2 linked regions of the Caenorhabditis elegans genome follow. The protein of the gene in region 1 purifies or fractionates together with the protein of each later gene. This does not show direct contact. Each region holds a gene or a part of one and is shown in the gene's direction. Other genes may lie near its edges.

Region 1 (7,002 bases):
GCGGATAGAAAATAAAATACAGTATAGACTGCAAAACTATATTTTGGAGGATTACATTCAGTTGAAGATTACTAGTTTCTCACTTCAAAAATTTAATGCTTCAGTGCGGGAAGAAATATGTGGAACCATAAAAAACATTTGAAAATGATTTAAAGCTAAAATTTAAAATACTCTTAAGAAGGCTCTTGAAGATGTATTTGGGTGCAATATTAATATAAAAAATACGGTATTCAACATTTACAAAAATCAAATATAAATGAAAACCAATATACTTAAATTTTTACATAAATCCAACTAGAGTACCATTGAAATATCTATTTCGGTTATTCACAACAAAAACTCGATTCTAACTGAGTAAAAGATCATCCGAAGACAAGCGGAAATTGGCACAAGCTTTCAATCCGGCTTAGAGGAAAGCGAAATTCGAGATTTATTGAGTGGGAAGATATGGGGAAAAGTGAGAAAACGAACATCTTGCAGCTGGAGTCATAGTTACAGAAATCAAGACAAAACTTTTTTTCAAACAAAAAATAAAAAATTTATCGCGTTAATTTTGATTGATTTCAACTATTACTTGCAGATTAATAAAGTTTTGGAATACTAAAAATCTTGAAAAGCATCCAGACTTAAAAATATGTATGGGACATTTGCCTTATTTTGATCTACATAGTCACACTAGTATGAATATACAATCAAATTATAAAACATGTGCAATAAAACATGATGGAACTTCAGAAAAAAAAACTGGGTTAAACTAAGTGATAGGTCAGTTTAAGAGGCACATTTTCAACCGGAACTTCTTGACAGTTCACAGCAAATTTGAAACCAAATTTTGCAACTTTAGCGATGGAAATGTCTAAAGGATATTAAACAGCGGCAAATTTTCAAGTTGAAAGAAACGAACTCGAAATCTATTTTCCTGAAATAAAAAATATAGAAGGAACCTATCAGGGAATATAACGTCGGTGAGGAAATGAGGATGAAAGTGATGGAAGAAGAGAGAAAGGGGTGCGGGAAGAAGAGTTGAAATTCATTGCTCATGCAAATCTTATGCCGTGTGTCTCTGTATGTATTTGTATGTGTGAGTGCCTTCTTTTTCCAACCATTCTCATTCTTCGCCACCCTCATTTTTGTCTGTTTCCTTTATTCAGTTTTCGATCGTCTCAAGATTTTTGAGAAATTTCATGAAATTCGCTAGGTTTTCGATTTTTTCTACCTTCCAGAAGTAATTTTTTATTTGAAATATGTGTATTGTGTAAAGTTTTCTTGTTAAAAACTTACGGTGTCAACTTCCAACTGCTTTGGGATATTTTATTGCAAACATACACTTCTTTTTTTGTCTACTTTTCTGTCAGAAGAAAAATATATTCGAGTATGAATAACCACTGAATTTACTGTATTTTTTTAGTTTACAATCGATGAAGTTTTCAGCTGTATGGAAAAAAGATGGAAAAGATTTTTCACCAGGTTGTCAATACGTAACGCTCTTTTGCCAAAATCTATTGAAATTATTACATAATAACTATTATTTTAATTGTTATCAAGCGTTGGCTTTTTAATTACCGTCTTTCCTCTAATAGCATTACACTGTATTGCTCAACTTTGGCACCTCATATCTAGATTGTCTTTGGGTTGATCAAAATGTTAGCAACTAACAAAACATTGGGTATTTATTATCTATAGTTTTGTAAAAAAAATAAGTTGTAAAATACTTCAAAAGAACCGAAAAATAGGCTTTCAAAAAGAATAGGCGGATGCAAGATTTTACGATTGTTTTGAAACTTAGAAATCTTCCAATAATGTGTTTCTATAACTTTCAACACCTCTTCAAATAACTCCAAATAAATAAATGTATTTCTAGACACTAAACCCATATCTTCACAATTCTACAGCATCAATGTCTCATGACAGTAGGCGTGACCATCTTTACAAACATATCAAAGAATGGGCGTGTCCTGATGTCAATTCTCGTCGATTGGTTATACGATTACGGTGGCTAGACGAGACGCAGAAAGACCGCTTTCCTGCCAACACATTCCAAGTGGCTCCCGTGTGAAAAAGAGACGCAGCAAAAAGGGAAACGAAGAAGAAGAAGACCGCCCCTCTTTTGACTACTACCTCTTCCTTTTCTCTCTTCATTTTCAACACACACATCCCATCTTTTCCACAGTAGTGGCCACCCCGTTGCTCCTGGACTTCCCAACTGATGCTCATACCTTCGTCGTCATCCATACCGTCTTCTTTATCTGCTTCAGCATCCGATTCTGAGCCATCATCACTGAACGGAAGTGGTATAAGTGATCAGAATATTCTACCTAATTATCATCTTCATCATCATCTAATTAACGAGAACGAGATGGAGGCAGCCAATTATGCACAGGTTAGTTCTTCTTTTTATTCGTTTCCTCCCACAACTGATTTGATTCTGATGAGGACGACATTATACAGCGAGTAGGTCCAAAAAAGGAGGCAAGCGGGGGGGGGGGGGCACAGCATTTGAATTTCAATTTTATGCCAATAAGAATCAGCCCCTCGACTGCCCCATTCAGTTCTTCTACACTTGTTGCCTCAAACTCTAACAGTGTCTTACCGCTGTTACAAAGTTGTATATTGTACATTGTTCTGATAGATTGTTATTTTCTAGGCATAAAGTAACATTCATCTAGAAAATTAGTTGAGCTGATACTCCTATATTTTAAGGTGTCTCTGATAGTACCTCAACTGCTTGTAGATCGACAAATGATGTAGTTGTTTCTTTCATTTGTGTTCTGAAAGTATTAGGTGGAACCGTAAACCCAGAATTCTGATGTTCCTGGCAGTATAAAACTTTTTATATCCTAGACATAAAGTGCCAAGCTTCTGTAATTTAGTTGAGCTAAAACTTCAATAAAGTATTGTTTAGATTAACTACTTGTAGGAATGATAACAGGTAATCTAAATCTATATTTTCACTGGCATTAGGCTTTCATTTATACAATGTTTATTTTGTTATAAAAATTGTGAACTGTAACTCCAGATTTTTGAAATTCTTACAGAGCAGTTTTTTCATTGTGAAACTAAAATAATTAATTTGAAGTTGAAATATTAAACATTTGCTATTATAACTATAAAAAGGTCTACTAAACCGTCAAATTGGAAAATTGATTTCGAAATAATGTGGGGACTAATAAAAACTGCAAAAATTGTTTGGTGAAACCTTACCTACTTTTAGGAATAATCAACAATGCATTTAACTATAATTTTATAAAACTCTTTGAAATTTTTCTCATTGATGTTTTTTAACTGCCAATGACTTGGTAAAAGAAGTATAGAAGGCTTAAGAAACATTTTGGTCCTTGGTCAGTCTAGAATTCATGAAATCGGAGCCGTAATTTTTCATTATACTGGTTTGTAATTATATCCTTTTTAAACACCTCAATCAATATTTGTATTATTTTCCTATTCACTAATGTACCTTCCAAATATCCCAGAACAATACAGTATCACTAACACGAACTGCACGTCATCACATATCATTCTCTCTGTAAAACTTGATGACTCTTTTTCAATCCGATTATCAAAATTTCCGCCCTTTCTTCTGTTTCTAGTACATCTCTCTTCATGTACACAAACTACTACAGTACCCCTTGAGTCTCTCAAAGATCGTTGCATTCGTCTGTCTCCACGTAGATACCATGTATAATAGACTCATGAGAATCTTTGTGGGAAACAGTTATCAACAATTCAATATTATTTTGTCATGTGTGGAGCGAAAACCAACAGAAAAAGGAAGAGTTGATGATGTACTAGAGGGTAGAAAATTGGCAGATGTAGTCCCTAAGAAGGCGCCGTGCTAAAGAGGATTAAGATTGATTGGCCTCTTTTTTTCTCTAAGCTGGGTGTTCATCTGTTCAAGACTAAATTGGATCGAGGCCAAAATTGTAGGGCCAGAAAATTGAACGATTTTATATAAGCAGTGAGGGATGAAATAAGAAGCTCCGGGAACATTGTCACAGTTCATCAGAATACTTTTATTTCATTAATATGGCTGAACTTTCAAAAATTACTCGAAGGAGCTGCGACCCATAATGATGTTACATACAATCGTCTCAATCGATTAGATTTCATAATGAGATATTAAAAATCCTGATTTATGTTGCAAATTTGAACTGTGTGTTCCGTTTTTTCACTGATTTTTCACTGAATATACTTTTTTCAATTGGTAGGCGCACATACCATTTTGAATCCTTTAAAACAAGGAAAGTTATATCTTTTATTTTTAGCACACTTTTTAATAGTTTCGGAACGTTTCTTATTTCAAAAATATTTAATAAGCTGTCACTCGAAGTACCACGTATTTTCAAAAACGACATTACAATTCTAGCTGCAAAATGTTTCAGGTTATCAAACCAACATGCGAGGCATTCCAAGATTGGCCGCATACTCCAATGCTGTATCAACAACCTCAACTTCATTTCATGCTTCCACAACACGATTGGGCATATCCACATCTTGCTCAATCTCTACCTCCTCCACATCATCTAACACCGTCCACTGCAGCAGTTGCTGCTGCAACAATTGCCTCACAAAGTTCAATAATCAATCAAACGTCTGTGGTTACAAGTACACCTTCGTGCCAAATCAAACAGGAAGTTGAACGACCTGAAATTATTCAGAGGTTAATGCCTCCATGGCCACCAGCTTATCAATTTTCTTGTGATGATAGTGGATCAGTGAGTGGAGCTGGTGGACCACATCAGCCATTATCTGATATTTCCGATGATAGTGAACAGACGTGTCCAGATGATTTGGAAGGATTTGCAAAACAATTTAAGCAGAGAAGAATCAAATTAGGGTGAGTGAAAATTTTAAATGTTCTCTACACATAACTGTAAAAAGTTAAACTTTTGAAAATAACAATTTCGATATCTCAAACATTTCGAGGCAACGTTCTGTCAACCAGCTGGTACAATGCCAAAGTTGGGCAGAAAGTTATCCTCAAATTCTGATCAAATTGGAATTTATCAGTTGGCAATTCCTCATATTCTTTCATTTTCATGTTCTTCAATTTCCAGATACACACAAGCAGATGTAGGTGTGGCTCTCGGAACACTCTACGGAAATATATTTTCCCAGACAACAATTTGTCGTTTTGAAGCGCTTCAACTCTCTTTCAAGGTTTGTTGACTTTCATCCACATGACTTTCAACGGAAACTGTTTCTTGTTGCCGACTTTTCTATGTTTTAATTGAATTTAATTTCGTTATAGAATATGTGCAAACTAAAGCCACTTCTATTCAAATGGCTCGAGGAAGCTGATTCAACGACTGGCTCGCCCAATTCTACATTTGAAAAAATGACAGGGCAAGCTGGAAGAAAGAGAAAGAAGAGAACAAGCATTGAGGTAGTTTGTGTTTAAAACTGAAAAATGTTATATACCGGTGTTTCAGGTCAATGTAAAATCTCGTCTTGAATTCCATTTCCAGTCGAATCAGAAGCCAAATGCACAAGAGATTACACAAGTTGCCATGGAGTTGCAGCTTGAGAAAGAGGTAAGGATATTTTTCTATTTTCCGGAATTTTTATTACTGTGAACTTCGAATTTTTTTTACAGTAACTTGACAATGATTTGAGATTTTGATTATTATGAATGAGATTTTGATTATTAATTCATTTAATTAAAGTGTTTCTCTACAAAAAAAAGTGTCCCAATAAAATATAAAGTTTAGGTTTAAGTTTAGTTTAGTACGGTTTAAATACCGTTAATTAAAATTGCAAATGTAGAGTGTGAAAAGGGTGAAGAATGAGGCAAGTGAAAGGGGCGCCTGGAGCAAGTTAAACGCCTACCTCATTAAATTTTTCTGAAACTTCACTTTCTCAAAAGTATAATTTAGGTTGTCCGTGTCTGGTTCTGCAATCGTCGTCAAAAAGAGAAGCGAATAGCTCCAAATCAATACGATGCTCCACATCCAATGGCTTTAAACAATGGATATCCAATGACTGCTGACCTTTTCCCATATCAAGCCGTCGTCAATCATTATACTCAACAGAGCCCGAGACAACAATAGTTTTTTGTGATGCGTATTGATGTAGCAGTAATATAATAATAATAATACTCAAATGAATCACCGGTAATTTATAATGACAGAAAGTTTAATAGTTTTCAAACATCCTTCTCTGAAGAAGACCAACAGTATTTCTTTTCCCCTATTATTTTTTTTGATACAATCCTCTTCACTTCTCACATCATTCTGAAAATGGGTATTCGTTTTTTACAATTATTAATTAGTTCTATTGTGTATCATTTCTAAATTAGTTTCCAAACTTTTTATTTTGTTCGAATTCATTTATTTTATAAATATCTGTACGTTAAAATGGAAGTAGCATATTTTAATTTAGATGTCTGCTGAATATAATTATATATAACTGTCTTTTTTCAGAGTAGGTAAAAATCAGAATTTAAAAAATTCAAAAAAGGAAATTTGATCTAGAGCATAAGCTTTCGAATAACTCATATAACTTTAAAGTTTTAAAAAAGTTCAAAATTTTCAATTTTGCAAATAAAACTGAAAATTACTGAATTAATGTATTTCTCAATTGGACTTGCACACTTTTGCTCTATTATGACAGCTGTATCCGTTATCATTGTCTCAGTTGTCTCTGCATTTATCAAAAATTGTCAACTGTAAAAAGACGTGCAAAATTTTTCTCTATATTTTAATTATTACAACTTTTTGATAACAGTTAAGACATCCGATAAAAGTCTATAAGTCGCCGAGCCGTTGGGGGAAAATCTACTAGAACAACTACGGTAGTTTTGAATTCCCGCACAAATGAATGACCTAGTTGTGGGAATTTCATAAAAATTAGAAATTTGAATTTTTTGCAAATAGGAATAATAATCATAAAAAATTAGAACAATTCTAAAAATTTTAAAAATTTTATTAAGCTATAACAGTTTACTTTGAATATTTAAAGGCAAAGTTCTTCTCCCGGAATGGGTCTTGACACGAAAATCCAATG
Region 2 (4,737 bases), on another chromosome or scaffold:
TCTTCCTGCTTACTTCGCTCTCTCCGTTTTCTTCCCAGTATTTTTACAACCAAACCAAAACCAAAACTCTGTGCCATCTCTTTTCTTCCTCTCATGACCAGCAAAAGCAGCAAAACTAGCGAAACAAGCCTTCGTCGTTTTTTTCTCTCCCGGATACTGTAGCTATGTGTATGTGAGAGTGCTTTCCAATGTGTGCTTGCTTGCTCTCTCTTGCTGTCCCGAGGTTTTTGCTCCATCGAGAAATGCTCGCTTTTTTTGCTTCATCTACAATAAACTTCCAAAATCTATTTCCCTGATTTCCTTGACAACAAGAAATAAATTAAATTTTTTGTATTGTACTGAAATAATTTGATACGGATTTGTAAGATGCTCTCCTGCCATTATAGGATATAGGTTAGGCGGCCCCTAATGCTATTTTACAACCACCTCGTCAACTAGGTTCTGGTTTTTCGTACCTTGTGACCCGTACCTCTGAAGAGCCGTCACTGCCATCATTTCCTTTAATGTCTGTCTCAGCTTTTCGCAATCAACAAGAAGCTTGCCAATAACTAAGGGATTATCTTCTCGAAAACCACAGATGCTCGTATCGCTCGCTTCATTTTGTCGGATTAGAACGGCGTCTTGAAAGGAAAGGTATACCTTGCCACCTTGGATGTGAATATAGCTTGTTAACAAATCTTCCTCTACCACCTCCCTACTGATGTTATCATTGTATTGAAATTTCTCCTCTCATCAGTTATCTATTGTTAATCAACCAGCTATTATTGAAAATCGAGATTTTATCAGGTTGGATTTTTCATAGTTTAACATTGATTAGCTATCAAAGTTACCGTATACTTGCGGGTCTCATGTTTTTTTTTCAATTTTTTCTCCAGTTTTAGTAGATCCATAACTCTGAAAAACAACACCAGGAACAATATGATTTGATTAAACAGAGAAGTGTCGTTTCCCAAATTAGCCGCCCGAAATGTTGAATGAATAGACAAGTGTTGAATAGATTCCGAGACTCAGTCTCCAGCGCTTTGTGAATAGAAACCTCAGATTATGAGCAGTCGTTTTTAATGAGTGCTTGAAGAAAAATAGGTTAGTTGCTTTTTTCGAGAAATCAAGTTTATAAATTAAATATTCAATTTGCGATATTGACATTTTCAGATTTGACTTCAATTTTGAATTAAAGCACAAATGCACAAACTGTAGTTTTGAACAATCAGAGTTTTTTGCCGCCTCTAAGTATTTTCCGATTGATTCTAAAGCTATAACTGGCTGTATCCGCCGTAGCAGGTGTTCTTCTCTGCGATACATACAAGAACTTTAGAATCCAATAATGTGTGAAATTGAAAAGTGTATAGTAATACCACCATCTCTTACTTCCTATTGCTATTCCCGAGGTGTTGTTCTGTACACGGTCACCTGCACATAGTTTACTTTATTCGTCGACGTCTTCCGAATCATCAACGTCGCCGTTTCTGCTGCTGGTGGAGAAGCGACGGATTGAGAGAAACGTTGTCATCATCATGTGAAATAGGTCCCGCCAGGACATTGCGTCGGCATCATCATCATCATACAGAGAGTTTTGGTAACGAGGGACAGAGAGAATAAGCCACGCCCTGGAAGGCGCGCGATGATTGGCCAAGCGGTGTTAGACCCGCCCACCCACAGTTGTCTGTGCACCTCTCGTCGGCGCCCAATCTCGTGAACCTCTTCCCCATCTTCCCTTCTTCTTTCTCCTGTCTTTTCTACCTCCTTCTCTTGCGCGATTCCCGTTCAAAATTCTATTGTATTTCATATTGGTTGTCTTTTGCAGTGTCCGGTCGACGTGTCATATCATTGTTGTTTAACAAGATGATGATGGATCCGGATTCAGCAAAAATGCAGGACTACTCGGGTTGGTCGTTTGGATTTCACATGCCACCAACATCTTCAACAAATCTTCTCCCGCAGTCAATGCCAGATGATTTGTCAAATGGGCCCGATAGCCCTGATTCAACAGGAAAAGACGGAAAGAAGAATGACGACAGGTAAGATATTCAGGTGGCTCTTCTGTGGAAGTGTTAACATCGAAACATTGTTCTATTCATCTATTGTTTCCGTTTCAGAGTGAAAAGGCCAATGAATGCATTTATGGTTTGGAGCAGAGGACAGCGGAAGAAAATGGCTCTGGTAAATTTTTCTTTCATTTTCTAACCTACTGTTAATTCCTGACTTTTTAAAATTGTATCTGATATAGTTTACTTTCACACTAAATCAATCATTTCCCACACTCTTCTATTGCATTCCTAATTAGTAAGACACAGTTTGCGTCAACGATTCGATTCGTGACCTTCTTGATTCACTTATGTCTGGAGAATCTTCTAATATATGCACATCGTTTTCTCGTTTAGAGTCTCTGATCCCTTAACTCACTTGAGTTAATCCTCTACATTTAAAATTATTTTTCTCATATTGCATTGAAAATCTGGAGAAAATAAGTATTTAGGTTCTATTCACAGAAAGTTTTAGTCATATTACCTGTGTTCGCCTAAATTTCAACATTTCGAACAGCTTGAAAGCAAACTGCATTTCACGTATCTTACATATTATATTACACTTTCATTATTCTAGGAAAATCCAAAAATGCACAATTCTGAAATCAGCAAACGTCTTGGGACAGAATGGAAAATGCTCAGTGAACAAGAAAAAAGACCATTCATCGATGAAGCGAAACGACTACGCGCCATTCATATGAAGGTTAGTTGGGGAATCTGGGTCGCCTGATACTAAGCTTATTGAATAGTGCCATCACAATTTGTTCTCTTCAGGAACACCCAGACTACAAATACAGACCGAGAAGGAAGACAAAGTCAATTAATAAGAAAAATGGAGCACCAATTCCATTTGGAAATTTGGACACAAAAACGCCATCTGTAAGTTTTCCTTCGATATTGAATACTTCATATATCTATTTTCATGTTTCAGTATCCGACGTTAACAACCAACTGGAATGCGACAAATCAGTATATTGATCAGTTTCGGTTTGCTCCGTACCCCACAACAACTGTAATGGATCAAATTCCATTCTCGTTGACATACCCAGTGCATTCGGTCCCAACTGACAACTCGTCGCCTTCGCAGTTCCAGCCATCTCCGATGAGCACAAATTTTGCTGGCAGCTACCTGACACCAAAATCAGAGAGCTCGCCGGTTGGCAGTGATTCTACAGTCGGCACCGTTGACTCCAGTCAGTTTCGTGCTTACTACGACCACACAAAGGATCAGATGATGTATCCGTACAGTATTGAATTGACTCATGCTCAAAACATTCAAAATGCTCTTTCCCAATCCCATGTTACCTCTTAAACACACTTCTCGAAAGAAATTGACCTTCAATTAGTTTTTTTGGTACAAATTTCAATACTCCATTAATTTTTTTCAAAACGGTTTTTGACTTTTGAAACATCTGAGCTTTTTCAATTCCAAAATCAAAATCTGAGGCAGTTTCAGAGATGTGCATTGCTAAATGACTTTTTACCTCTTATTCCCATTTCTCTCACAAAAAATTCAATGTCCCGTGTAGGGTGATACGTGCCCAGAGGTTGTTTCACTTCCCCATTTTTTCTCCCTTTAAAATTTTGCCAACACAACACTGACTTGGTATTTGACTGTTTTTGAAATTCTAATCAATATGTTTCGTATATTTGTTTCCTATGTCAGTTTTTGTGGTTTATCGGAATTCATTTTCTCCGTCCTGATTCTTGATAATTCTCACTGTTCTTCGATTTTTGTTTGCTCTCTTACCCATTATTTGATGCCACTTGTGTCAGCCGTCATTTTCCACGTTTCCCCAGTTTTTTAATCCATGCAACCAATTTATTGCTCCTAACTCTCATCACCTTCAGTTTTATTGTATATTTCTTTCTTGAAACTCCAATAATTATTCGCGCTTAGAAACCTATTTAGATGCGTCCCAACTCATTTCTGAGGACCTCATATTTCAGTTTTGCATTCTGAAATACCATGTTCTAAAATTTAGATGTTGATACCATCATATAAGTTTACAAATTTTTAATTTATCCATAAAATGTTGACACCCAAGCTTAGATCTGTAAAACCAAACGACTAAAAAAGATTGAAGCAAGAAGCAGTCAGTTTCCGGAGGCTTCTTTTTTTTCACCCAGATTTGATAAAAAAGATGCATTGGTATTTTTACTTGCACACAACCAACCAAAAGTGTGTTCTTTACTTGATTTGGTCGTTACCGAGAAGTTTATTTTGTTCAAACAAGCAATGGTGAAGTGAATGTATCAGAGGCAGACGAGAAGAAACCGAGAAGAGTCAACGAAAACTGTGCATATGAATTTCGCGAAATTGTCAAACATCGGGTTGTTGGTTGTCTCGTTTTCTCGATTCGATTTGCGCCTCGACACATACACACATACATACTGTTTCTTCCTGTGTGGTGAAGTTGGGTTGTGATGGAATCGGAATAGGGTGGTCTCAATTCCTCAACTCAAACAAAAATAGCCGGAGCTGCCGCCGAGCAGTGTATGATCGAATTTCGGTCGTCCACAGTCCGGCTCCGTGGCTCCTGAAGCACGCACGCGCGCACACTCTCATACTCATACACCGAAGTACGAGGTTTTGATTGCTGTAGGGAGATTTTGGAAAGTCATTTGCCCGCCAATCTTGGCCAGTGGAAAACAACGGGAGACTGACGATGCCCAACCAATTTTGTCCCATATTCATATGCATGACTTTGGC

Evidence for each region.
Region 2: the proteins of ceh-6 (region 1) and sox-2 purify together in Caenorhabditis elegans (affinity purification with western blotting, with the first as the bait; one study listed by BioGRID). This does not show direct contact.

Annotation. Positions count from the first base shown.
Region 1 is NC_003279.8:8,497,465-8,504,466, reverse strand, and holds ceh-6 (Homeobox protein ceh-6), read left to right. Parts: upstream 1-1,862; 5' UTR 1,863-2,206; coding exon 2,207-2,380; intron 2,381-4,379; coding exon 4,380-4,834; intron 4,835-5,054; coding exon 5,055-5,157; intron 5,158-5,248; coding exon 5,249-5,383; intron 5,384-5,429; coding exon 5,430-5,531; intron 5,532-5,873; coding exon 5,874-6,047; 3' UTR 6,048-6,355; downstream 6,356-7,002. UniProt on the Caenorhabditis elegans protein: Vital for embryonic development and essential for the proper function of the excretory cell. Required for the transdifferentiation of the Y rectal epithelial cell to the PDA motor neuron during larval development.
Region 2 is NC_003284.9:7,457,616-7,462,352, reverse strand, and holds sox-2 (Transcription factor sox-2), read left to right. Parts: upstream 1-1,804; 5' UTR 1,805-1,842; coding exon 1,843-2,018; intron 2,019-2,096; coding exon 2,097-2,160; intron 2,161-2,601; coding exon 2,602-2,727; intron 2,728-2,798; coding exon 2,799-2,903; intron 2,904-2,955; coding exon 2,956-3,336; 3' UTR 3,337-4,071; downstream 4,072-4,737.